4 linked regions of the Mytilus edulis genome follow. The main gene of each other region encodes a partner of the protein of the gene in region 4 in a complex. Links are inferred from orthologs where the notes say so. Each region holds a gene or a part of one and is shown on either strand. Other genes may lie near its edges.

Region 1 (6,862 bases), on a different chromosome or scaffold from region 4:
AACTCAAAACAGCTTTTAACTTTGATTTTTGAAACAAATGACACAAAAAGACATTTACGCAGCCTTCCTAATGTTATTAAAACCATCTTGAAGGTAATAATAACCCCATTAAAAAAAATTACAAAAATTTTACAAAAAATAGTTTTCTGTTGAAGGACTGGGCATGGTTTCTGCTAATTATTGAAGGCTTGTATATGTATTTGTGTTTAGTTGCTGCTTGAAATATCTTACATTTTTCTTCAATTTAAAGGCAGATTGATTCGAGAGGGGGATTTGTTGTTTGAGAACTTTATAGCTTTTTCCAAATGACAGAACAGCAATAAAAGCATCATTTATGTGCTAAAAAATTGTCTGCATAATAAAACACTTATTTACAAGTTAATAGCAAGTTTATTGTTCTCATACCCATAGCCAGAAAAAAAGTGTATACTGTTGATTTGTAATGTTTATACAAATTGTACATGTTTGTTTTTTAGTTTTCTGTATCAGCTTAAAAATTTGCATTTAGGAATGGAAGTGTAATTTTTTGGTTTGACTAGACTCCTACCTATCTGGATTTGCATCACTTTCATCTGAAGATTCCTGCTTCTTACGTAAATGCTTCTGTCTTTTTTCTGCCTTCCGTCTCTGAAAGAAATTAATGTGTTTCTAGCATTGCTCAAACTTCAGCTTGAAAAGTAATAAAATTATAACATATTGTATTTACACCTGTAAACAAACATATGTTGACATCTAGTCGATTTCATTTGGTTTGTGTTTGTTTAGTTGCTGTCTCATAGCTTGCCCAAATGTTTTTACTGTGGATTCATTATTATTCATTGGATACAAGTTTTCATGGATTTCATTGGTACAGGTGAACCACGAAATCAAATGTTCAACGAATGACAAATTTTCTGTTGGCTTGTATGCAGACGTTGGCAAAACCACGAAATTAAATATCCACAATTATACATTTTTTTCTTAATCAATGAAAATAGGTACCCACGAAAATAAATGAATCCACAGTATTCATGATTCTGTAAACTAATTCAAATCTTAATGTACACCACCCTTTTCTATATATATTTTTAGGATAGAGTTGTCTACCTTTGGCTGGACAGAATATTCATCCTCCTCACTTCCAGACGATACAAGTTTATAACTCTGGTTCTTCTTTTGTAGCTCTAATGATTGCCTTTCTAAAACTCTTCCTACTTTTTCTGTTACAGCTTTTCTTGGTGCCTGAAAATATTGATTAAGAACTTATCCTTTTTTTCGCCTTTGGACATTTTGTAGAACATATCTACATATATTAAATACACAATAGTACTCCAAGCAATAACACACAGACTACATAGTATTTGGGTTTTTTTTAAGGATTTTTGAATAGATACATGTTTTTTGTGTAATATATTACAAAGTCTTGACCTGTTGGAGAATAATATTTCAGCATTAATCATGTCAATGGCAATTGCATTTAAAAAAAAAAACAGGTGAAAGATTAATCTTTTTTATATCCAAACACATTATTGTTTCAGATTATCATTAATCAGCAAAAACTTCATAAATACCTATATGTGAATAATAATATCAATCAAAATATTTATTTGTTTGTTTGTTTGAATATATAAAACTAAACGCTATTCAATAATAAAATTCAATTTATACTTGAAGATAAGGTCAACAACGTCCTGGGATAAAGGAGTCAACAATGCAAGACATGACATCCATGCTGTGTCAGCCATACCATGAAAAGACAACAGAGCCATACTTTGATAAGACACACCATCAATAGCTTTTTTTCGCAAATAAATTTTATTTAAATTCTAAAAAGTATTGTGATATATACAAGTAGATGGTAAATTATATATGCTGTATTTACATTATTTGTTATGTTTTTTATATGCAATTCACTTAGAATACACATTATATATATATATATAGCATATAATATATAAATGTGAATTATTTATAGCAACTAGCTACAGTGTATCTGCCATATGTATTAAGGGAAGCTGTCCAATCACGCTTTCTAAACCTCAGGAGTCATCATATCATTATGACTCTTATAACAAAATATACTAGCTAAATATTCTATCTAACTACTGTGGTGTCACGGAATAGAAGTTCCTGCATAATATAAGTTCCAAAAGGAAAAAATATTCTGGAATATTATTTCCACAAGAATAAAAATCACAGTATATGTTCCTAACGGAATAAATTGTTTAGAATCTTTGTTCCAACAGGAATAGATATTATGACAATGTTTATAACAAAGTTTCCATTGGAACTTCTGCTAGGCGGAACAAATATATGTTGACAGAGGGATTCTTTAATTGGGCACCAATTATAACCCAGGAGAACATGATTTTGTTGGCAAAGTCACATAGTCTCCTCCTGGACTTGAGCCCTGAAAATCTGTGGTGTGTGGCAACATTTGGGGCAAACCCGTTACAGATTAGAGTCTGTAGAATCATGCTCTACAGTTAAACTAAAAAGTATGGACAATGTGTTATTTGTAGGTTTTGCTTTATGGTCGATGCATCCTATGGACGTCATGATTCATGGAAGTGTCACTGTGGGGCTGTCTTGTCTCGAAAGCATCGCAGAGGGGCATTTTAAAAAAAAGTACATTCGAATGAAACCTATGCTATAGGTGTCCAACAAAGCCTTGGAATAATTCTATCTACAAGACTATTTAAGTTACCCTTTCCCATAACTCCTTCGCAAATTGGATAACTTGTGGATTAATGTCAACTGCTTCAGTTTCTCTGAGGTTATCAATGAATCCATCTGAGCTTGTTGCTTTTTTACACAAACCAATCAAATATTGTGAGATGTATTTGTCCGATATTCCTAAGATGTCATGCAGTTTGTCGCTGACCCATGTATCAAGGGATGACATTGCTAACTACGAATGTCTTCGATGAATATTATGAGAAATCATGAACTTTATTTGTTTGTACTGGAGGCTGACATATTGAAAACGATTCCACACGTTTTCGTGACGTTTTGTGCATGACAAGGGACGTAACTGCAAATTTTAAGGGGGTAACACGAATTACCGAATAACAGTGTTATTATCCGAATAACTCATGTAATTACCGAATAACTCTTCAAATATCAATATTAACACATTTAAGTGACTTTTAAACATATATTATTGAATAAAATTATAATAGAAGTGTATTTTATAACCTAAAAATAAAAAAAAAGTTGCAGGTAAGTTAATATTGATCATTATAAAATTATGGATATCGGTGTGTACTTCCAAGATGGCGACCAAGGAAAACGTAAGAAATGAAGAAAAGAAAGATTGCATACAATCCCTCAACGTGTTCATCTTAGACCACCAAAGTGGAGCCCTCACGCCACGTCACGGCAATGAACAATGTGAGGGTGGGCATTTTTTAAAATAAAATATGGAATAGTAAACTATTTAAATTAGTTTTTGTTTTAATTTTAGTTATTAAAAAAATATTATCTTTATCATATTTTTATATTTGTGATTTAGAAATGGATGTTAACTAAGCCTTTAAATCTATAAAATTACAACTATTAAGATATCCTGCACAAAGCACGGGCTTATCTGTCATAGTCCGCGGAAATACTTTATTTAGAATTAATTGTAAAAAAATTATAACTACTAAGATATCCTGCACAAGGCACGGGCTTATCTGTCATAGTCCGCGGAAATAATTTATTTAGAATTTATTGTAAAAAAATTATAACTACTAAGATATCCTGCACAAGGCACGGGCTTATCTGTCATAGTCCGCGGAAATACTTTATTTAGAATTTATTGTAAAAAATTTATAACTACTAAGATATCCTGCACAAGGCACGGGCTTATCTGTCATAGTCCGCGGAAATAATTTATTTAGAATTTATTGTAAAAAATTTATAACTACTAAGATATCCTGCACAAGGCACGGGCTTATCTGTCATAGTCCGCGGAAATACTTTATTTAGAATTTATTGTAAAAAATTTATAACTACTAAGATATCCTGCACAAGGCACGGGCTTATCTGTCATAGTCCGCGGAAATACTTTATTTAGAATTTATTGTAAAAAATTTATAACTACTAAGATATCCTGCACAAGGCACGGGCTTATCTGTCATAGTCCGCGGAAATACTTTATTTAGAATTTATTGTAAAAAATTTATAACTACTAAGATATCCTGCACAAGGCACGGGCTTATCTGTCATAGTCCGCGGAAATACTTTATTTAGAATTTCAACCTGAAAACATGCGAAACAATACTGAACTATTTTCTCAATGACTCCACGTGCAATGTATTTTGTTTAAGAAGAGGGTTTTTTTTAACATCGAATGACTAAAATAATCCAAAAGTTCTTACATATTTTATAATTTACAAATTCGAATTTGCCAGAAGAAAGCTTTTTTTAACAGGAAAACCCAAATTAACTTTATTAAAATATCTTTTTTTAATAATTTTTTATTTTAAATAATCAAAAATTATTGGTGAAACATTGAACATTATTACCCTTTGACAGAAAACTAACATAGGATGTACATATTGTATATAGTTGTAAATATTTATTTGTGTTCTATTTTTCATTATTATAATTATTGGTGTTGGTAATGCAGCCTTGGTATACCAAGACAGTCACAAGCCTGTTTAATGCAGAGTGTCCATACTGTAATATAATTTCATTATCTCTTAATGATTAATTATGTAATGGGCACGTGTCAGTAAACAACAACCCAATTAACAATCTAACAGAAGTGTGAGGTAATGATTATTTTGTTTATTGGAACTAATTAACTCATTATCACTTTCAAATTATTCAATGTATGAAAATAAATAAAAGTAGCAATAAAAAAAACGTAAATACTAATTTTAGAAGAATATTAATTGAGTATTATTTTATTATTTTTAATTCTGATTTTTTAGTAATTTAAATTAAGTAAATTAAATACATTTTAAATGAAATAAGAAATAAATGAAATATAATAAACTAGGTGAAAGGTTGTCTTCTTTGAAATTAAATATTTTATTTTATTTTTCTTGTACCATGTTTCACTCTCTATTAATAATATAAAAAACCCAATTTCGCATTTGTATAGCTTATAATAAAAGGTATGTATGAAAATTACTTACCTTTCTAACGCCTTGGCCATGTCATACTTGTTGTCTGTAAAGCAACAGTCCTTACAAAGGAACTTTAGAGACACATCTGACCAGGCCAATAACAATGCATCATCCATTGGGACACAAGCACTGTGAACCCAACGATCACAACAACTGCATTGAATGGTGCAATCAACACATTCTTCATCACATTGAACACACGGATATAAAGCCATTTTGAAAATGGAAGACAGCACACATGTATTCATGGCTTTTTATACAAAATTAAAGTGACTTGTAAAAACATTTATATTTGCCAATGAAAATCTTATATTTAGTTTTGAGAAAATTTTATTAGAATAAACATAAAAATCATCCATTCAGAAGCTTTGTTTTTATTAAAACAATCAATTATAATAATTTTTTTTATTAGATTTGAATTGAATATGTGAAAATTCTTAATTACATTTTATTTAATGTTGAGTAAATTGTTATGAAAAGTAATTAGTGATTGGAGTAACTGCATTGCTTTGATGTACTGGTTAAATTTTCAAATCCTTTCTGAAAAACAATTATTAGACAATTCTCTGTATATACAGTAAATTATTTAATACTATATTTTCATAGCGTTTTCCTTTGAAGGCATATATGCAATCTTTCTTTTCTTCATTTCTTACGTTTTCCTTGGTCGCCATCTTGGAAGTACACACCGATATCCATAATTTTATAATGATCAATATTAACTTACCTGCAACTTTTTTTTTATTTTTAGGTTATAAAATACACTTCTATTATAATTTTATTCAATAATATATGCTTAAAAGTCACTCAAATGTGTTAATATTGATATTTGAAGAGTTATTCGGTAATTACATGAGTTATTCGGATAATAACACTGTTATTCGGTAATTCGAGGTACCGAATTTTAAGGTGGGTTTGATTTATTTTTCCAACATTCAGAAATTAAAATAATTTGGATTTGATTAAATGTAATATGCCATTTAAACCTAAATGAGACTATAGTTATATTCAAACACATTTTTTTTCCTTAAATATAAATTCGCCGAAAGAAAGTGTACAATATTTTTTACAACATTTCAGTTGGTAGTCAGACATTCCTTAAATTGTGAAAAGAGCTCGCGCATGGTGACTGGTTAGTATATATATTGAAAATAGAAATTAGTCTACAGTGAATGTTGTCATCCTTGAAATGACCAATGAATAACTTGCTGTGAGTGTGAATTTTTGTAAAATATAAGTTGAATTTTTAAACAATTCCTCGGTCATCACTCAACAGAGCGACAAAGTCTACTTCAGTACTTGTCAGTAGGATAAATGTGTCCCCCTTTTCCGCAGTTTAAAATTCGGCCTTTAAAAATTTTTTTGACGTCTTGAAAGGCTAATTTATTTTGTCTCTTACGACATCACAACATTGAAATCCTTTGTTTTCCTCATGACAATTACAGAAAATTGCTTTGAAATATTTACTGACGGTAGGCCTAGTGTCACCTATATTCGTGGACATAAGGCTATTCAAACAAAATGCGGTTAAACTATTCAAACAAAATGCGGTTAAACTTTTTGTTGATAATGTTACCTTAGAACTTCATTAAAATAATAAATTAGTTTGATTCTTTCCGTTAGCTAGTTTATTTGATATGACCTACATTTCTAGTGTACACAAATTGGCATATGATGCCAAGTACATGTACGTCACCTATTTTCGTGGAAAAAGTTCATTCTAAAAATAACACAAGAAGAACAATCAGTATGGAAGCCCAGTG
Region 2 (7,300 bases), on a different chromosome or scaffold from region 4:
ACACCCCCCCCCCCCCCTGGATCCGCCACTGCACAAGGAGAATCGGGTAGGTCTTTATTTACTAAATTAATCGTAAATATTCCGCCGGTTGATATTGTAGCATTGGTAAATATGTTCATATCTGATAGAGGATTCCTTGATAAAGTTTTGCTGACATTCGAGACTTGGCAGGAGGGGCCCTTTCAGTTTGACAGATCTCCATTTATACTTGCGGTGGCTACACCTTGTAAAGTTGGTGCCCTTTGTGCATCTGACGGTTTCAAATGCTGTATAACATGATGATTTAAATTAATACTGGGTGACAATCTTGTTGCATTTGTGAAATGGATTGGAAACCTTGGTGGTATATTGGTAATTACGCCTATTTCTTTTTATAGGAGAATGGGGTTCGATTCCCTGCTAGGGTCAATCCATTTTATCAGAAATATGAAACAATTTTGTCATTTCAGTACAACAGTAATAATAACCTATACTTTATTTTATATTTTATCGTCGGAACATATGTTTCAATGAAATTATTATATACAATGACATGCCTTTTTAACAGGAGAGATGAAACGAGGGAGGGGTTTTGAAGTTAGAACAGCCAACATGAACGTTGTGGTTTCTAGGTCAACTATGACAATTACGAATTGTAACACATTGTTGTTATTGGAAAAGTATTAGTAACAAAATGTGTATCATTTTAGTGTTTGAAAGTGCTTTAATTTAAGGAAATACATTAAATGCATACCAATTTGACGAAATTTATTTTTCTGCCGTAGTCAATATACGCATGTGTAAACTAATTTTATTGGATAATAAAGTATACGGTTTCTTTACAAAGCTAAAGAAGCACGTCATATTAGAATTCATTTTAAATAATTCTTTGTCTTTGATATGAATTAACATTACCTGATGCATTGCCTTTCTTTGTTTACATTGAACATGACCTCATAACTTAAATAACGTCACAAGTAAAATCCCTAACAACAGAACCAAAATCGGAAACGTTACAGTAATGCAGTATTTCCGTTTCTTTTTTTTAACAAATATGTAAGTTACAAAAAAAAATAATTCATACAGACTCTGTCCCCATACACCTTATCGCTATTTGTCCGTCATTACTGGAAATCACACAGGTTCCCGTAAAATTTTGACGTCATAAAACAAAATATCTGACGCCACAATGGAAGTGATTGTTGTATGCGTCAAAAGTTCAAGTGGCCGGGTCAGCCGGGATTAGCGATAAGGTGTATTCACAGGTAATGCCTGCCTCATATTATATATATATGTTCCTGATTTGAGGTTTCATTATGACTTTAGGATAAAGTGAAAGTTGAAACAAATAAATAGAGATGCGGCATTGTGAAAGTATTACTTCAGGTTCTAATTATGACATATTCGTGTCTATTTATACAATAAAAGGTATTCTTTAAGTTACTTAACCTTTGTGATTATGACAAATTGTTTAAGCAGTCTTACTCCTCTTGCATGAAAATCGAGAATATTTCCTCGAAATACTGGTTTCTTTTCTATCCACTGATGTTCTCTTTCCTTATTTTTTGGCTTTTTCGCTAGGGTAACAGTAGCGTACAATAAAATAAAGAATCGAAAATCCTACCAGTGATGATTGTTTTCCGCATTATACTGCGAGGTATTTTTTAAAAGTACTTTTTTTTAAATTAATTTGAATTTATCACTGTTTATTTAATTTCAAGATATCATCTTAACGGGATAATCAGATATCTTGTAAAAGTATATAAGATATCTTGAATACTTCCGCGCTTCATACAAAATGTACTTCGGTTAACGCTTTTACACCCCAATAAATTTACAAAAAAGAGCATTCAATTCTTAAATATAGCTCAACATGCAGACTTCTTATACGTTCAGGTATTTCACATCCAATTTTTTATGGAAATATTCTTTATAAAGCACAAAGGTGTCAGTATTCACCTCAAAAACTAACAAAATCTTTGAATAGACTTATTAAGAAGGGATATAGTTACGATACTGTTGTCAGGTCATTATAAAGATTGCATATTTTGGCGTTAATATTGATTCACTTATAGGGTCTTTGCATCGGAACTAAACACATTTATTCAAAAACCAGTTGTTGGCATGACACGGGTTATATTCTTCTCATATATGTTATGATGGTATGATACTAAACCCCTAACGGGAAGGATTAATTTGTGCCTGATGTTCATATGATGAAATCATAATCTTTCAGTCAGTTTAATTGAAGTCTGGAGCTGGCATGTCAGTTAACTGCTAGTAGTCTGTTGTTATTTATGTATTATTGTCATTTTGTTTATTTTTTCTTTGGTTACATCTTCTGACATCAGACTCGGACTTCTCTTGAACTGAATTTTAATGTGCGTATTGTTATGCGTTTACTTTTCTACATTGGCTAGAGGTATAGGGGAGGGTTGAGATCTCATAACATGTTTAACCCCACCGCATTTTTTGAGCCTGTCCCAAGTCAGGAGCCTCTGGCCTTTGTTAGTCTCGTATTATTTTAATTTTAGTTTCTTGTGTATAATTTGGAAATTAGTATGGCGTTCATTATCACTGAACTACTATATATTTGTTTAGGGGCCAGCTGAAGGACGGCTCCGGGTGCGGAAATTTCTCGCTACAATGAAGACCTGTTGGTGACCTTCTGCTGTTGTTTTTTTCGATGGTTGGGTTGTTGTCTCTTTGGCACATTCCCCATTTCCATTTTCAATTTTATAAAAGATAGTCTGTTAAACAAATTCTTAATAAGCTCGACTGATATCTTGTAAATATTTATATATCTACTAATGTATATAAGATATTAGCATACTTTCTTGTTTTTTTTTAGTCTGGACGCCATATAATTAACTAATTCATCTTTATTTCACTTTCAATGTTGACATTCATTTCCTTTAAATAACTGAACACGGACAGTGCATGCGTTATTCATTTCTACGGATTCAATGAGGTCGAATTATTGCAAGTGAAGAATTCACCATCTATTTTTCTTATCTTATTTTGACAAAATTGAACCATACTGGCTGCTAAAAGAGAATCAGTGATTATTTCACTATTTCACTTTAAATTGTTATGCAAATATATCGGATTATGATACAATGAATAGATTTTTTTTTTGCAATTATTTTGCAAATAATTTAGCTTGCAAGAATAAAGTTATTCTCCATCTCCAATAAATAGGTAAATTATATAATAATAAATGTCATAAATAATGTATCTGCAATTATATTTTAAGAAGTGAAACTGACAAAAGTACATCATTTCAATAAAAAAAAAATATCATATTAAATTTCGTTTGTTTTTTGTTTATTCTGGATATATAAGTTTTCATTTTAAGTGTAACGTGACGGTATCCAAATTACACCTCTTTTGACAGTTTTTTCATCTACGTTTTTTTATGATAAAGACAAAAATGTCCATTCTGTGTTTAATTTCTAGCCGTATCCTTCTTTATTATATTGGAACACCAATTTGATGTTTAATTCATATTGAATCATATATTAGAAAAAAGGGTCTAAACTGACCTCCAAACCATCAATGATTCTGAAATGAGAAGTGTACCCAAATTGCATCTATGCTTAAATTCGCATCGTCAAAAGTCTAATAATAACAGAGCTTTTGTTTAATTTCTTCAAATATTTTAAACAATTGGATATTAGTCCATGCTTAATTTCATTTTTTTTAAATGGATACTTGTAACATATTGTATTTCATCATTTTAAAAAGATGACGTTTTGATGACGGCATGGCGACGTTTCAGTTCATTTTGCTTTTTCAGTAAACACTTCATCTATTGATAAATACTGTTGTGAACGTTTTGTGCATATCTAAATATATTTACCTATGTCGAAAGATGTGCATAGTATCAAATCATAAAAATACAAAATGTTTACTGTTTAGTCTCTAGGAAATCTTGTTAGATGTCCGCTGCTATTTTAGCTAAATAGGTGCAATTTGGGTACTCGGTGCAATTTGGGTACCGTTACGTTACAGTAGCGAGTTGGCGGACCTTTATCATTTTATATCTTGATTTATAAAATGGGGAGAGTTGGAAGGAGTATATTTAACGGGAAATACTTTTTCATAAGTGGGCGACTATCTATAAAGTGGGACGACCTGGTGAAAAAAATGGGGCGACTTGGGACGATTTTACAGGAGGCGAGTTGTCTTGCTTCCGACTATGTGGGTATTAAACTGGACCCCTGCTGTTGTTTCAATCTGTCGAAGTATCAATCAGCGGGTGGCCAGTTAATGTGGGTATCGGAACTTCGCGCATTCCCTTCCCGTCAGTGCACTCTTTTCTTTATCATGATACAGTAACTTCCGACCAAGCAAAATGGGCAAAAAACAACATCAGAAAGATAAGTTGTATCTTACATCTACTGAATGGAGAACAGAATTCGGAGGATATAAAGGTCAGCTTCAGAAATCTGCAGAATTTAGACGTTTACCTTTCTACTGTTGTAGCTTATCGTTCCAACCTTTTCAAGATCCACTATGTACCAAAGACGGCGTCATTTTCGATATCATGAACATTGTTCCGTTTCTGAAAAAGTACGGCGTGAATCCGGTAAACGGAGAAAAGATGACAGCAAAAGATCTGATCCATTTGAACTTTTATAAAAACAAAGATGATAAATTTCACTGCCCAGTTACGTTTCAGGTTTTTAATCAGAACTCTAGCATCGTGGCTATTAAAACAACAGGTAACGTGTTTAGCAAAAACGCAGTGGCTAAACTTAATCTCAAGCCAAATCACTTGAAAGACCTTTTATCTGACGAGCCGTTTTCAAAGGCTGACATCATAAACATTCAGGACCCCACAGATGTGGAAAAATGCAATTTTGCCAATTTTTACCATTTTAAACATAATTTAAAGGTTACAAATGAAGACAAAGCTGATTCAAAGTCAAAGATCAGATCTGCAAGCACCATGACTCAATCTGTCCTTGATGAGCTTGAAAAAACTTACAAAGCTCCAGTAAAGGAGGAAGCTTCAATGGCCAAAGCAGATAAGTTCAATGCAGCTCATTATTCTACTGGTCAAGTTGCAGCATCATTTACCTCAACAGCAATGAATCCCGTCACAGAACATGAAACTGCTCTTATTGATGAAGATATACTGCGTTATGAAAGAGTGAAAAAGAAAGGATACGTCAAACTTGACACTAATTATGGTCCACTGAATATTGAACTTTATTGTGATATGGTCCCAAAAACATGTGAGAACTTTCTGAAGCATTGTAAAAATAAGTACTACAAAGGTTCAAAGTTTCATCGCTCAATAAGAAATTTTGTACTACAAGGAGGAGACCCTACTGGTACAGGCCTTGGCGGGGAATCAATATGGGGTGGAACTTTCAAAGATGAATTTAAACCAAATTTACAACACACCGGCCGAGGAGTTTTAAGTATGGCAAACTCTGGACCAAACACAAACAAATCTCAGTTCTTCATCACTTTCAGGTCAGCTCATCATTTAGATGGTAAACACTCAGTATTTGGTAGAGTTGTAGGTGGAATAGGTTCACTAGATGCTGTAGAACTCATTGAGACAGACAAGAAAGATAGGCCAAAGGAAGACATAATAATCGAAGACTGTGCAGTGTTTGTAGATCCATATGAAGAAGCAGATGAACAACTTCAAAAAGAAAGAGAAGAAGATCTTCAGAAGGCAAAAGAAGAAAAGGAAAAGCTAGAAAAAGAAAGGAAGAGGAAGGTTGCAGCTGAGGGTACTCCTACGGTTTACAAATCTGGTGTTGGAAAGTACATTAATTCGACTGGAAGTGAAACTAGTTTGAAAAGATCAGGAGGCGATGAGCAATCAGAGACTGAAAAAAAGAAAGCTAAATTTGTACCAGGGAAATTAGGGAACTTTAGTAACTGGTGAAAATATAAACATGTATGTTATAATTGACTAATTTTAACCTTATTCATCATGTTCATGCTGAAAGTTACCAGGTGAAAATGAAATTACAATGTACATTGTATGTACATGTATACCAAGTTTCATAAAAATATGAAGATATTTTGTCACATAAAGATATTTTATCATTATGCCATTAACATGATTAATACATGCATGACATGTAAATCATACAAATGTACATGTCATAGATGACATCTGAACTGTTCAATTCCCCTTTCTCAGATATAATTTTGTAATTTTAAGTTGATCTGAGGCAAGTAATCCAAAAGTCATAAAAGTAGAAACTATAATAAAAAGAAAATTACATGTTGAAGACTCAAATTCAACATGTTCAATAAACATCATGATGATGATGATGATACAATCTTAAAAACTTTAATTTTATCAATATTAACTAACGTTCTAATTCTGCCATTCTGCATTTTGAAATAAAAAAAGTGGGGGCTTTAAAATACAAAATGCAATTAAACTAAAGTAAAATGTTGATTATTATTATAAATCAGATACAAGTTTTAATGGCATGAATAGCACATACAATTTTGTTCATGTAACATGTATTTTAATTTTTTCATTGCCATATATACATGTAATGTATGCATGCTCATCTAAATTTTAGTATTTCTTTATTAAAAAAACAACTTTGGATTCATTATTATTCATTGTATAGCAATTTTCATGGGTAGAGATGAACTACGAATTCAAATGTTCAATGAACAACACATATCTGAATAGGCTTTGTATACAGAGATTGGCAAAACCACAAAATCAAATATCCACAAATTCCAGAGGCATGACTTAAATTAATATTTGATTTCATTAGCAATTATTTTAACATATTTAAAGATTTTTAAATATCAGTGATTTACGTGTAACGTGATAACCATAACGTTCCCGTTCATCTTCAAATGCACATTTGGTGAATTTTCAACTAAATGACAGTTATTTTTGTAATTTGATTTACTAATTATTGATCCCTTTTTATTATCAAGATTATATTAACTTTAACAGTGTGCCATGGGAATTTTTCTGTAATCAAATAGATATATATTACATACTTCTATTGTTAAAGTCATAAAAAATAAGTTTTCTGGTTATGTTAATGTAAAAGAAAAAATTGCACCATAAATGCATACATGTATATACCATGTATACTATCCATTTGTAATTTCTATATGCATATTTTTTACAATTATTTTAAATCCTTAATTAAATAATATATAAACATGACAAAATAAAAAAAAATCATTCAGTGATTGTTGATTGAAAAACTTGAATTTTGTGTCTAAGTGATTGTATCATTGCCATTATTTGAGGTGAAAGAGTGATGTATATTTGTTTTATAAATGTATATTTTTGATGCATTTCCATTTA
Region 3 (7,801 bases), on a different chromosome or scaffold from region 4:
CGTATAAAAACCACATGGATCTATCTTTCATATAATTGTAAGTCAGTTAACTTCCCATAAATGATAACTAAATAATATAATAACATGGTTACCTGGGAAAGCTTGAACTGATACAGCATTTCAGAGTTAATCAAAGCTGATTCATTATATCCAATTAAATACATTTTGTAACAGACATCAAATAATTGAAAATAAGAACACAATTTAAACTGAGATAATGTATATGTAACTGTAAATCTAGATCTGAGTGACAAATTTTGTCTGGTAAAAAACTTTAAACACCTCATACATGTACATGTCATACACTCCTTATTGTTCACTAACTCAATAGATTTGTTATTAAACTTTTATAATTGAATGCCATTAAGTTATAAATAAATGAGTTATAGCTGATCATATACATGTATTACAATGCATTAGCGACAAGATCTCCTCAAAATATAACTCAGTGACAAAAAATAAACAGATGAACAAACCTTGTTGAAACTGACTGAGTGGTGAAATAAAATCATCTTCTGAGGAATCTGAGCTAGTACTACTGACATCTAAAACAATATCTTTACCAGGATCTGCCTTCACAAAGTTACGACACTGAAATGTTAGATGTCCAGCTAAAAAACATAATGAAAATAAAATAAGAAATTTTGTCTAAGCATTCTAAGGACATGAATGCCCTTGCTCAAGCTTTGCAATTTTCAATTATCAAAACGTTTAATGACTCACTGCCCAAATTAGAACTTAGTCTGCATGTTAAATAAAAACTTACCTAGAGTGAGTAAATTAAAATATTTACAATTTTCCAAAGTATAAAGGGGTATAACTCTAGAAAGGTTAATGAAATATTGCCAGAATTTAAACTCTGCGTGTTGTGGTTTTCAGCAATGATCAGCAATACCTTTAGTCCAGTCAAACTAAGTTTGAACCTCAAACTAATTGCAACAGAAAATGCTTTAATTCTAATCTATAGCATTTAGCCCCAAATATATACAGAAAGAAGTCCCATAAAATCTAATTTGAGGAAAACTCAAATTTTGCATTTTTAATTTCTTATAGAAATTAACATTGGAAAGGGAGATAACTCAGCAAAAATGAGACTTTTATGTCAGTTTTTGTTTGATTTTCTTAAAATTCATGTAATATATGATACTTTGATGGAGTTATAACTTCGTATTTGACTATATTATATAATCTTCTGCTCATGAAATGTACAAAACCGAAGTGCTATGCATATTTTTTTAATTCTTTTTGCACATTTTCATTAAAAAAATTGCAAATTTATGGCCTAGTGACCATTTTGAAAAAATGAATATTTGGTATTATTTCTATCTGTAAATTATATTTGTTCAGCATCTACCTTGTTCATAGAAACTTTAAACCACAAAAAGAGGAATATATGCTTAATTAGTTTTATTATTCAATTTGAGATTCTTTACCTTAACATGCTGAAAAATCTAATAAATGGTCAACTATTTAATTATGAAGTCTAGGTTCTAGCTTGATAAAAGATATGATAATACCTTAAGAGTTCTTTGTTATACTCTAAAGATGACTCAAATATCAAGAATCAATACATTCTGTTGAATAGAAGCGGTAAAGTTATAACTTTTTATCAATCTTTATTGATATTTCTGCATTTTTGCAGAGTTATCTCCCATATGAACGCAAATCTCCATAGGAATTTTAAAATCATGATTTTTTAGTTTTCCACAAGTTATATTTTATAGGACTTTTTTCTGTGTATATTTGGGGTATAATGCTAAAGATTAAAACTTATGTATGCTAGATTGACTGGACTACCAATGATTTTCTTAAAATTTGGATGAGGCAAACTTAAGTTAGAGTGCGAACATGAACAGACTTGCATTTCCAAGTTATACTTATAAAAGGGCATAACTAACTGTAAATGACTCTGTGATCAAATTTGATCTCTGTCTGCCACTTTTGGTTTTTAGCACCATGTATGACTTTCAGAAAGTTTGGATGAGGAAAACATAACCAAGAGTGGTAAAACAAAAATGGGTCAGACAAAAGGACTGACAGATGGACAGAGGGATAGTCAAGGGTAACAATTAATGCCCATGTTGCCTACGGTTGAGGCATAAAAAGAAAACATAATTATACTTAAAGGAATAGGAATGAAATAGTCATGGCTGGTAAAAGATTTCCATTACACTGCACGTCTTATGATACGGAAATAAGAATGCTATAATGTCTCAACTGCTCAATTAACTATTTTTTCTATATAATAGCTCAATAGAAGTAAGTAGACAGTTATTTAGATAAAAAAAAAATCATTCAATTTTAATAAAAATTAAATAATGCCTGAATATTTTAAAACAAGAATGTGTCCTCAGTCCACGAAAGCCCCACTCGCACTATCATTTTCCATGTTCAGTGGACCGTGAAATTGGGGTAAAAACTCTAATTTGGCATTAAAATTAGAAAGATCATATCATAGGGGACATGTGTACTAAGTTTGAAGTCGATTGGACTTAAACTTCATCAAAAACTACCTTGACCAAAAACTTTAACCTGAAGCGGGACAGACGGACGGACACACAGACCAGAAAACATAATGCCCCTCTACTATCGTAGGTGGGGCATAAAAAATAAACCAGAACAATCCACATTGTCAATTAAAGACTTGTGAATTGAGATGTCGCAAGTGGGAGCAGTGTGACAAATTAAAAACAAAGATCATGCAAGTGAGGAATGTATATAGCAATAAACAAACTACATTATTTCATGATTATCATGAAGTTTTAAAAGATATAGTAACTTGCCTATGCTGTTAAATGGTACACAGCTGAATACTGTGAATTTATTTATTTTTGTTGATACTATAGTAAAAATAATATATAGTGGTATTTGATTTCAAGGTTTTTGCAATGTCTTATTACAAGCCTTTAGAATATTTGTACTTTGTTAAACATGAAAAAGTTTGTTTTACCAATACCAAGGATTAGTTTACAAATCCTTGCATTTACCCACAAATTCCATAAAATTTGGTATCCCATATAAAGACTCTTCAGTATTAAATACAATACAATCTGCTATACATACCATATCCACATTTTTTACAGGCTGGTTTAAGTCCATCATTTTTATTGGTGTATTTGCTGCCTATGCCTAAAAGTTTTAAAAAAAATAATGTTGATAAGGCATCAGTCATGTCAGTCAAAGATTAAAATCAAATAATAAGACCTAAAAGATTGGAATATCTTGCCTGCTATTTATTATTGAAAACCCGAAGGGACTTCTTTCAACATGTTAATAGAGATTTTATTTGTCGATAGATTATATCATTATTTTATAATAAAAAAAAAATATCTTGCTTCACTTTTGATGATTTTTCAAATACCCGCAAAGTTGTTATAATGTATGTGACCTCATGGATTAGAAAATACTTTTAAATAAAATTCATCTGTTAGACAATAATGATAGGACATTAACTTAAGCATAATAAATTAAATACATGTAACACATAGTGAGAGGATGATAGAGCAGATTGGTAACCCTCAAAAAAGCATTGTCAATCTTGGCTTGGTAGTGATTGACACTGTATTCTTTGGTAACAATCTGTCATTGGATGCCAAATTGACTTTAAATGGGTGCCTATTTTTAACCAGATGTCGATTTAACAAGGTGCCAATTTGACTTTTTCTGTGGGTGCTGATTTAACTTTTAGTTGTATCCCAATCTGCTCTATCGTCCAATGTTTTATTTATATATGGCAGTGTCTGCGCCTGTCTGCGAGTACCTGCATACGGATACACTTAGCCAAATTGGCCTTTTTAGGCTATGTGTACCCGCAACCGATTTTATAAGAAAGTGTCATATGATTGGGAAAGCAACGTGAAAGATACACAAAAATTATTGGTTATTTTTCTGATTTTGTGAATTCTGTGAAGATAATAGCAAATAATATTTTTTAAATTGTTTTTAATGTATTAGTTAGAAAAATAGAAATCAAATATAAATGCATATTTTTACGAAAGTGTATCACGGTACGTCGTAAAATAATAATAGGCGTAGAACTTTTTTTTTCATATATATTGACATTTCAAATCTTAAAATCTCTGTGAGTAATCAATTTATTCTCTCACTTATTGCGATGTTTTCTGAGTTAATTTTACAATTTATTCCTGATCCGATGACATTAAATTATAAAACTGGAGGCGGGTGTGCGTAGCCGTAGCCTACAAAGGCCAATTTGGCTACGCATACCTCACATGCAGGTACGTACATACACTACCTATTCATATACTCATTATTACTGTCATCTGCGAAGAGTCGGATTTTACTATGTTGGATGTATTTTGGGAGGTCGTTTATGTAAATTAGAATAGTATTGGTCCTAGCACTGTACCCAGTGTGACACCTGATCATGTGACTGGTATAATTTTTAAAGATGACTCTTTCTAAAAGTACTGACTACTGTTTTTGTTTGTGTTCTGTTTGACAAAAATGATTCAATCCAGTTTATTATTTGATTCCTGTCATGAACAAGTTGTATCAAATTTGTCTTTCTTTGTTTACCTTGCATTGTGTCATAAATCGTAAAACTGCGGAATGGTCTAAATTTTTTGGTTAGGTACCTAAGGGAGATAATCTGGTATCATTCAAGTCAAAACTAAAAGAAAATCAACATTAACTTTCCATGATTATTACGAAATTACATTCTGTTTAAAAAATCCCATAAATAATCAAATATAATGAATATTATGAATTTGAATATGAAATTCTTAGTTTATTATACAAATACATCATTTACTATTTTATCTTTTAGTTAGACCTAAACAAAATGGCTGCGCCCATTGACATTTCAAATTAATGGTCTAGTTTGTTTTTGTTTGACAGGCTATGAGCAATATTTATATACAAGAACCGCCTACGAGCGGAAAGGTAGAAAATTAGTGTTTTACTTTGCTGTTTAAAAAAAAAGTAAACAGTCTTGCTATATTATAACTCCAGCAGACAGTTGACAATATCAATAACAACAGCTGTTTTACTATCTTTCTATCTGTATATTTTAAGCCAATGAATTTTACTGACACCTCATCTTGGAATGTCTTCTTCTTCTTCTCCTTCTTCTTTAGTTACAGAAAACCATCAACATTTTGAAGATTACATTCTGGTGCATGCTTGATTGAGGTTCTTCTTCTTCTTCCAGGTAAGGAACCAGATTCATTGCTGAATGTTAATGGTTCCGCACGAAAACTTTACGCAGTGTCGGGCAACACAGAAAGATTTCTCTTGGCTATTTACAAATTACATTTAAAACGTTCGCAGAAAAATATACAATTAAAATTATTTACAACTGGTTTTCCTACTTCCTTTCAGAGCATGCCTTCAGGGCAGCTCTGAATCCCTCAACGGTGTTGGTCGCTGTAACTGTCGTTGGTAGGTTGTTCCAGTCCCTGATTGTCCTCGGGAAGAAAGATTGGCCGTAGGTGTCTGTACTTGTTCTTTCTTGGAAGAAGCGGTTTTTACCTCTGGTCCGGTTATCATTCGGTGTCAAATATTTGTGACGGTCTATATCTATAAGTTCATGCTGGATCTTGAATAGCATGCACAATCTATTTGTTTTCCTCCGTTCTTCGAGGCTTTCCCACTTTAGATTTTTAACCATATTTGTGACACAGCCAGGTGTTCGGTCTGTGTAGTTGTTATTCACAAATTCGTGCAGCTCTTTTCTGAACCTGTTCAATTGCCTTGATTTTATTTTGAGCGGTTGGGTCCCATACTGTGCTTGCATATTCCACTGCAGGTCTTACCATGGACACATATGCAGCTGCCTTTACAGGTTTTGTACAGCCTTTGAGGTTTCTACGTATAAACCCCAAAGTTCTGTTTCCTTTGCCTACTGTATTGTCTATGTGTTTATCCCATGTTAGGTTGTTACTGATGGTTACTCCAAGATATTTACTTGCTTCCTCTGGTTGCCTTTTAAAGTTTTTAAAAATTTTGTCATCATGGTCATAATGCAATTTCTCATTGTATAATAATTGCATAATGACAAGGAGAAAAATTAGAATAGTTTTACAGTTCTGCCAACTTTTCGTGAAGCAAATGTGTAAGATTTTGTCAAAATTGAAAAGATCAAAGAGAAAAAACAATACATGTAGATCAAAAGAAAATGCCAAAAAAAAAAGCACACACATGCGTGAGACTTGGCAGGTTTTATATATACATGTATTATAAAAAAAATAAAATTTATTTAGGTGTCCATGTTTTAATTTATGCAAGCTTCTCCTCATTGTTGTATCTTTTTCAAATAAAAGATCAAATATTTGACAAGGTTATATTTGTCTTCAAATTTCAATGGGACCTGAATGTAACGGTCATCTTGTCGTGATGTCATATACATTTTGTATCAGATGACGTCGTGTTTGGACATCTGAGGTCACAAACATCCAGCGGTCGTATTTTCTGGCACATGAAATGCAACCTTGAAAAACAACTGGCAGTAAGAGGGTTAACAATTGACAGGAACATATAAATTGATACAGGTTCCAATTTTTGCCATTTAACTGACTTAAAATTATTCAAGGTCTTTGCCGTCACTGTTAAATCAGACCGGTTATTCCACTGATCCACTACTCTAATTGAAAAAGTATTTAGTCTATGTCAGTATGTGTTGTCTTACAATGTTTCTTAAAAAGTTTTTTAAGGAGTGACCTTTCGTATACATTTTGTAACATTATAATAAGATGGTGATTAAGTAAATAAGCTCAATGAACGTAACCTATCTTCAAAACTTAAATGATTTATGTTCTTGACGAGTTAAGTGGTCTTTCTTTGGACAGATTCAAATTTACAAATATTTTTTTAAGAGTGGCGACACCTGTAGCATATTCCAACTTTTGTTTTTAAATCGGTTCTCATTAATTCAAAATTTTAGAATGTACCAATACATGATCTTCAAAATGGAGATATTCTATTTGTTAATATTTATTTCTAATTATCCTACCTGATAGCATAATAAGAGGTTCTTTTTCCTGGAAAAATTTGATTTCTAACAGCAAATACCTTTGACTTGTTTCATTTGAACAACAACAAGATAAAAATGTCTCTAGTGTAAAAAGAATTGAAAATACTTTTTCATTATTGAATAAACAACTTGGTACACTTGAACAATCATTAATGACATTATAATGATATCATGCAATAAACGATTTCTGTCAGTGCAGGTTTTTCCATCACACTTGTGCTCATTGGTTGTAGAAGTTAATATAAACGGCTCATGGTTAAGGTCACTCCATACAGAAAAGCTGTAATCAAATTTGAGTATTGGAACACGACAATAAATAAATAGCAGTTAGCTATGACATGTACATGTATGAAGATTAGGATGTTCATTTACAAGAAAGTTTATGCACATATCATATGTTTTATAATAAAACTTTTCCATTCCATTCAAGTATTGAAAATATATTTTCATCTGTTACTTAGCGCATAACTACTTGAGCTAGTGAATATAATGTAGCTGAGAAAAAGAAAACATTAGTTAATGAAATTAGGTTTAATCAGAAGTATATCTCATCTAAGAATTGTGATAAAAGAAGGAGCACAAACCTTGTTCTTTGAGATAAGTAGATATAAAAAAGAAGGTTATTAGACTATATTACATGTACATGTACTTGTATGTGAAGCCTCATATAATTTTATGTTCAAACAATGTAGAAAAGCTTGCCTAGTTGAGAGTCTCAATGTTTAATCTGTTTCAACTTGATTCACATGAACATGACCATCTGTATTATGTTAAATCTATTTGTAGGTTCTATTAGATACAAGTGTA
Region 4 (7,696 bases):
AGAAAAAAAAACAATTAAAAAATAAAAAATTTAAATAACATTAAAGACAAAAAAATTATAATAAATTAACAGAGTAAAACAATATTTTATTCTACATTTTCAAAAAAAGGTGAAATGTCAATTTTAATAAAAACCCAAGTCACCTGTACAGGTAAATTTTAATGAAACATACCAGCTGAAAACTTCAACCCTGATTGATTTTAACAGGTAACATAATTAGATAAAAAATCTGCCCATGATTTATGACCCCCAATAAATGGCCAACATCTCAAGATTGAATACCCCAATAAATGTTCACCATTGGATGTTGACCATGCAAGAGGGTGGACATAACTAAGAGGAAGTCACAGGCTGTACTGTAGCTCTAGCAGACTAGATAAGGAACGATCTGTAAGTTCTGCTGATGACACAAGAGCTATAAAGTCCTGTTATTGAAAAAGGAGAGTTTCAGGGTCCATGTCAAATGTATTTGCCAGAGCTTCTTTCTCTGTATAACCATACATAGTTTCACTGTTGTCTGTTCAATTCAACAAGCATCTCCGTATATTTCATGTTGAGCGTATCTAATAAAATCAATAAGTTTGTCAAACCGGATTTCAATCACAGGCACTTGTTTCTATTCATATTGGAATACCCCCTATCAATGTATATTTACGGAAATATACGTTGATAGGGGGTCTTCCAATGGATAAAAACAAGTGCCTGTGATTTCAATAAGAAAATTGATACAAAAATCGGACTTTCGAGAGCTCCGCAATCGGCACAATAAAATAAAATTATTTCAATTTTGTTAGTTTATTATCAATTCAACAAGCATCTCCGTTTACTTCATGTTGAGCGTATTTAATAATATCAATATTAAAGTTAGTCAAAACGGATTTCAATTTAAGACAAAATGATATAAAATTCTGACTTTTGGGTGCTCCGTAATCGACTGAATTTACAATAGAAGAACAATTGTGATATTTGATAGAAACCTTTCTTCTGCTCGATTTTTCATAAAGGTAAAGAATTAAATTATTTTTTACTCTTGATGGTCATTATTCTTGAAAAAAGATGTAATAGACTGGCAGCCAAGTCTTTGATATTTTCTTCTTGTCATTTCCGAGTTGGTCAATTTTTCTTTTTTTCGTCGGCATTTTGCGTGTTGACCTATTGGAATGATTCTTTTTAAATGAACGTTATTTTATAAATAACAAATACATTAGAAATGAACACCGTTCACATTTATTTTATAAATTCTATTTTGCATCGTCAGGTGTTAAAATAATCAATTCATTTAACTTCGATGTTTGGTGCTTCAGGGCAAAGGGATTAGACAGGGTCGTAAATTTCACCTGATTAAGTAATTGACTCCAATCAAATAGGTGATTATATACAGGTAACAAGTGTCAACAATTTTAATCTGTTGTCTTAATGAAGTGTGTGTGCATAAAGAACTCAAGAAAATGGCGACGATATGAGGAAAAAAGATCGTTTTTTAAACTTTTTTCAAAAGGGCACAATGGGGCGCAGGGGCGCTTAAAAAAGGCAGAGGGGCGCAAAATTTCGGGGGCGGGGCGCCCCTCCATTTCATGCTACATTTGTAGCTGGAACACTGAATGATGGTATCGGGATCGTTCGCCCTGATTACATGTTCGCCCTAGGTTCGTTCGCACTGAGTTTGTTCGCCCTGGTAATCCGTTCGCCCTGGGTTCGTTCGCCCTATTTTCATTTATGATATGTATATGTTACATTAATGAAAGAAATATATATTTATATATATTAAAATTTATGTATATCTATAAACAGTTAAATACAGCATATTAATTAAATAAAATTCTTGGCTGCATTGTTACACTTTATTTTATAATTACTTTTAATTACTGTTGATTGAATTTTATTGCTGATTAGGTACATGTATGATTTGAAATCTTTGGTATCACTGATTGGTATATGAATTGCCTTTGATGGATTGATAATGAAAATAACATTTTCTCAAATAAAATAGTCGGCTTGGATGGGTAAAAACACTGATGTACAAATTGTTAGGCATGAACTTATAGCCTAGTAGCAGCTAGCTGTAGACAACATAATACATCGTAAATATTCGGCGAAATTGTAGACCGACTTCAACATATTTAATTAAATACACACAACACAACACTATACTAAAAATAAAAATCGTAAATATTCGGCGAAATTGTAGACTGACTTCAACATATTCAATTAAATACACACAACACAACACTATAATAAAAAATAAAAATCAGGGCGAACATACCCAGGGCGAACAGGTATCAGGGCGAACGGTCTCAGGGCGAAACGGAACTAGGGCGAACTGTAATTAGGGCGAACCGAAATCAGGGCGGACGGACCCGGATTCCTGAATGATGAAACCATACAAACAGATGATTTTATGAAATAAAAGTATGTTATGATTTTGTTCACACAATATTATCTAATTATTGGTTTTATCAGTTGAATGAAGTGGTCATAAGTCTTAGATGTGCGGATACACTGAGGTAGGCCGGATCGATGTGTTGCCGGATTGTCATGGAAGCAAAACAGGGAATACCCCACTTTTCCTGACCTGTGTTCATGGTGTCTAACCTGTTCAAATAATAATTTATAGAGACTTGGTGATCTCTAACAGGTCAATTGCTGCATATCATGGAAATATATATTAAGGAATGTCTATGTTTCTTCATATTGCATATTCCTTAATAGGTTATTAAATATGGAAAAACAATTTTCAGGATCATATGGTCAACACCAAATAATTTACATTACTCAGTAGGGTTCACCGTTGACTGTGTCTATACAAATAAAAGATTTTAAGCTGATTACTTTCTCCGGACTAGAGGAACGATGTCGTTGTTTCTTATGCTTCTTTTTCGCTTTTGTCTCATCATCTTTGGCCATAACTTTAGCTAATATCGTCGTTTGAAATACGATGAAAGAAAAATAAACAGGAAGTTACGTACGACGACAGCGACACCTGTTCAAGTTTTCTAAAAATAGAAACAGGTATCGACTAAGACACGTAGATAATCCGCATTATCAATTTAGGTATCAGTGATTTAGCCTGTGACTATTATAAAGTGGTCCATTTACTTAAGGACCTGTCATTTTCTTTCCTTTATTTGGGCAGGGGTACTAGAAGTCGATTTTGAAATTTCTCTTAAATTTTCAAGTTCTAATTTGAAAACGGGAAAAATCCACAAACACCCACAAGCAAAAAAAAAAAACATCCCCCAAAAAATGTATGACAAAAAGCACTAAGGTAGTTTACCATGAATGGGGCTTAGTTAACGTACAGCGGTAACTATTACATGGAGATTCAAGCGGATTTGTATGTGCTTTATCCGATCCGCAACCTCCGACACTAAAGGCGAGCCGGCACAATTTCATCATTTGCGACACCATTGATACAGTAACCGCCAATTCAAAATCCCTATCTGTTAACCAAGTTTTTCGATTTTCATAGTTTTCTGCCGAATATTTCAACTTAAGTTTAACTTCATAGAAACCAGGTACATGTATCCTGAATTGTACACTGTATCACCTTTCTACATATGCCAGTTTTCATCCCATGTTTCAAGTCTTTCAAGAAAAAATTGCATATCGGAAGATAAGCACTACTAAAAGTATTAACACCTGTTTTTTTCTGGAAATATTACATTAGTATACTATTGAGCTCATTAATCCTTAACTTAAATGCAAACTCATTGACAAGTAAATTTTGGATGAAATGGTCTAAATATATTTTTCTCTCACCAAAATAATCGTTTCTGCAGATTTGATGGTTAGTTTAAGGAAATAAAAAACACTACTTTTTGTCAGAGCATGGTCTTTTACATACGTTCTAAATTGTATGTCGTACATTGGTGGTCTGACTCCTAAAGCCGGGCAGCATATATCCATCAATCATTTTACTATTATTATTCAAATAAAAGCACATTACGTTCAGTGGCGAATACCTCTTTTCTCAGTCCACGTGTACATGGGCCAATATGCCATTTTATTCGAAATCCAATTCATATTAAAAAAAAAACTACAAAGATAATTCCAAAACGGTATTATCAGTTGCATTCTGTTTTAAACAAGGTTAATTTCGTTTTCAGTAAGAACTAGGGTATTACCTTTTAAAAAAAAGTTATCTGTAATGGATCGAGCTGGACACTTTCTGAATGCCCTCTAGGTTTTCATGTAGCGCGTTGTGGTATTTTGTGACAAAACAAACAATCATCTGAAAATAATCGTACAATTGTGAATTGCACCAGGCAGGATGTACATTAAAATAAAGCATATGAACAGTATAGGTCATAGTACAGTACCATCTGTTCATGCTTTTTTTTTTAGTTTGAAGACACGAATCACATATTTCGTGAATATAATTAACTTAGTACACCCACGAAAGAATACACGAGAAGCCCTGTGTTCACAAGGTTTAATTGGCCAGGTTACATTCTCATTTAGAACACACACAAAAATAAACAGTCAAACAGTGATGGATATACGGAGTAATATAATATATATTTAAGACCTTTCTCCTACCTTATAAAAAAGAAGATGTGGTATGATTGCCATTAGTCGAATCGCAAGTATAACTCCATGATAACAATGTTTTCATGATGACTTAATTTTATTGAAAATGATTTGTTTTGTGGTTTATTCAATCAAGGACAACAACTGATCGAATTATCGACACTAACTAAAGACAGGTACAGGCGTTTCTACCTCAGGAATAGATTACCTAAGCTGTATTTGGCCAAACTGTTAGATTTTTTTTGGTCCACAATGCTCTTCAACTTCGTACTTTATTTGGCTTTTTTAACATTTTTAGATTCGAGCGTCACTGATGAGTCTTTTGTAGACGAAACGCGCGTCTTGCGTAAATATAAAATTTCGACCCTAGTATCTATGAATAGTTTATTTACATCCACTGCGTCGATGCCACTGCTTGTGGAGTTTTAATTCCCCGAGGGTATCACCAGCCCAGTAGTCAAACTTCTGTGTTGACTTGAGTTATGATAATCATTGATATGTTCATAATTATAAATTAACTTAAAATTTCAATACTGGTATCTATGATGAGTTTATTTATTAGAATATGATGGAGTTAAACATGTTTCTATGCGATAAATCCTTCTTTAACACGAGACTGTTGTGAAACAGTACACCATCAGAACAAGCTGTAAAAACAGCTGAAACGGGCCTTACTTGTTAAATTATCAAGGCGAATGTCACTAACAACGTCAAAACATTGTGAGTTGTTGATAAATTGACCAAATATCAGAGGACTAGTATATTCTGTATTTGGTACAGAGTACTGCATACATTTTCAATAACAATGCCACTAACTTCACGTTTTTATTTCATCTAATTTGGGGAAAAACCGATGGAAGTCTTGATACATTTTTTTATGTACCATATAAATCATTCAAAACATACGATAACAAAAAGCAACTCATTTAAAACCTACCAAAACTTAAAACAAGACACTTAAAATCAAAATATCAATGTGATAAACAAACAAAAAATGATACGAAGACAGTACAATACCACCAAAAACAACACATAAAATTGATGTAAAAATTAGAGAATATGAAAACAAAAATCTAGAATATTTATTGTTTTGTTTCCATGGAAACCACATACAAATATAAATATTCCTCAAAAAATGGATTCTTGTCATCAATATAGATATTCAATCCTTGAGTACTCAAATATACAATATTGAGGTGGAACACATTTACAACATTCCAATTTTCCAAAGAAAACAATTAATCAGAATTTTGTTTGAATTTCCGTATTTTTCTGATTATGTATTATCGTACGCAAATACATGCCAAATATGAACATGTTCGAAACCAGTTGAAATATCATCATAACGTTTGTATTCCTAGTAAGCACATTAATAGTATTGACAAAGGGTTGAAAAAAAAATGAAAATATGTATAAAAAAAGTAAAATCACATAATACTGAACTCCAAGGAAAATTCGGAAAGTCCCTATAATCAAATGGCAAAATCAAACGATAAAACACATCAATGAATGGACAACAACTGTCATAATCCTGACTTGGTACAGGCATTTGCAAATGTAGAAAATGGTGGATTGAACCTGGTTTTATAGCGCTTAACCTTTCACTTGTTTGACAGTCGCATCACATTTAATTTACAACGATGCGAGAACAAAACATACACAATATGTAAAAGAGTCAAAACATGGATACAGCAGTCATCACTGTGTCACAATCTCAAAACAAATAAATATTTAACAAAAGAGCACAAAAACATCTTTCAAATTTAAAAAAACACACACATTAATGCCGTTCAATGTTTTAAAAAACAATATATGCATAATTCCACTCCCATCTGGACCTATTTTCTTAGTCACGGTCACATACTTATAGGCATATGTTCCAAACAAACTGCATTAGTTATTATCTAAAACAGTATTCACACATTCCTATTAAGACAAAAATAAAAATACATGTGTCAATATATATAAGATAAATGTAAACAGTTTTCAAGGTGTACAGTCTGTTCCCAGAGAAAACAATTTTCCAACAAATACTAAGTCAGGCGTTTCATCTGCTATGTAGTTCTGAAAACAAGGATACAAATTGAATTTTGTAGCCTAGAATTCCTAGCTTTTTTGTTTCCCTTTGTATCTTCGATAAGCTGAACGTGTTCAACCAAATACTAAGTAAGGCGTTTCATCTGCTATGTAGTTCTGAAAACAAGGATACTTATTGTATCTTGTCACCTAGAATTCCTAGCTTTGATTGGTTCCCATTGATTTTTTGATAGGCTGGACGTCTTCAACGACTTCACGTAAAATATCAGACAGCGAGGAATCACGTTGATTGGCACCTCCTTTTTGTAATTGTATAATCAGTTCGAGTTGTTCTCTGTAAAAGTTCAATCAGAGTTTTCAATTATTCCATTTGATTATTATGCGATTTTTTTTAAATGCAACTATAGATGACGTCATGCAAAATTGGACCAAGTTTCTTGATCAAATATTTTTTAACTATCAAACGCCATCATTCGAGCTGATGTTTTTCACTTTTGATTAATGTGTAAGCGATTTTACACAATAAGATAGGACAATATATTTTTTGTTTACATATTATGTTCCGTTAAGTTAAAACCGTATCGAATGAACGGGATTGATAGTTTAAAATATTTAATAAAAAACCTGGGTCTAATTTTACATGATGGCGACTATAACACAAACAGTACTAATATATATATGTATTAATTTGACAATAAAGAATCATAAAGAGCACATAGGAAAACACCAATAAAGTACAAAATGTAACTCAATTTTCACAAATTTTTAAAAAATGTTCAATAATTTCATTCCCGGTAAAATTACAATTGTCCTTAACTTGACCGCAATTCTAATACATCAATTTAATTTACGTTAAAAAAGCTCGGGTAACCATTTACCAAAATAAAGTTACTCTATTACCATTTTGTCAGAGCATGTTGCTACATGTAAAATCCATAATCGAACATGAATCTCACTAGATCGAATATCAACAAAATAATGTGGTGGATTAAATTCCCAAATTCGTTAAGAATTATAATAGTTCTTTGATTTACATTTTGGGAAAAAATATATATATACTCACTGGATTTTACCAAGGGTTGATTCCTGACGAGCAAGTCTATTTCGGACTGTTAATAAATTCATTTTA

Evidence for each region.
Region 1: smad nuclear-interacting protein 1-like (region 4) and pre-mRNA-splicing factor ATP-dependent RNA helicase DHX16-like share a complex: the UniProt entries of both Homo sapiens proteins name them as parts of the minor spliceosome. The link is inferred for Mytilus edulis from reciprocal best matches to the Homo sapiens genes SNIP1 and DHX16.
Region 2: smad nuclear-interacting protein 1-like (region 4) and RING-type E3 ubiquitin-protein ligase PPIL2-like share a complex: the UniProt entries of both Homo sapiens proteins name them as parts of the minor spliceosome. The link is inferred for Mytilus edulis from reciprocal best matches to the Homo sapiens genes SNIP1 and PPIL2.
Region 3: smad nuclear-interacting protein 1-like (region 4) and spliceosome-associated protein CWC27 homolog share a complex: the UniProt entries of both Homo sapiens proteins name them as parts of the minor spliceosome. The link is inferred for Mytilus edulis from reciprocal best matches to the Homo sapiens genes SNIP1 and CWC27.

What each region holds. Positions count from the first base shown.
Region 1 is NC_092345.1:3,144,947-3,151,808, reverse strand, and holds the start of pre-mRNA-splicing factor ATP-dependent RNA helicase DHX16-like, read right to left. Parts: upstream 3,018-6,862; 5' UTR 2,885-3,017; coding exon 2,687-2,884; intron 1,222-2,686; coding exon 1,087-1,221; intron 628-1,086; coding exon 548-627; intron 1-547. UniProt on the Homo sapiens protein: Required for pre-mRNA splicing as a component of the spliceosome. Contributes to pre-mRNA splicing after spliceosome formation and prior to the first transesterification reaction.
Region 2 is NC_092349.1:71,243,586-71,250,885, forward strand, and holds the start of RING-type E3 ubiquitin-protein ligase PPIL2-like, read left to right. Parts: upstream 1-4,293; 5' UTR 4,294-4,336; coding exon 4,337-5,890; 3' UTR 5,891-7,300. UniProt on the Homo sapiens protein: Has a ubiquitin-protein ligase activity acting as an E3 ubiquitin protein ligase or as an ubiquitin-ubiquitin ligase promoting elongation of ubiquitin chains on substrates.
Region 3 is NC_092344.1:100,219,353-100,227,153, forward strand, and holds the start of spliceosome-associated protein CWC27 homolog, read left to right. Parts: upstream 1-4,776; 5' UTR 4,777-4,863; coding exon 4,864-4,905; intron 4,906-7,780; coding exon 7,781-7,801. Other genes in the region: protein SREK1IP1-like, read right to left, coding at 477-611, 3,064-3,129, 4,540-4,546. UniProt on the Homo sapiens protein: As part of the spliceosome, plays a role in pre-mRNA splicing. Probable inactive PPIase with no peptidyl-prolyl cis-trans isomerase activity. As a component of the minor spliceosome, involved in the splicing of U12-type introns in pre-mRNAs.
Region 4 is NC_092353.1:19,625,975-19,633,670, forward strand, and holds the start of smad nuclear-interacting protein 1-like, read right to left. Parts: upstream 3,008-7,696; 5' UTR 2,905-3,007; coding exon 2,830-2,904; intron 1-2,829. UniProt on the Homo sapiens protein: Required for pre-mRNA splicing as component of the spliceosome. As a component of the minor spliceosome, involved in the splicing of U12-type introns in pre-mRNAs. Down-regulates NF-kappa-B signaling by competing with RELA for CREBBP/EP300 binding.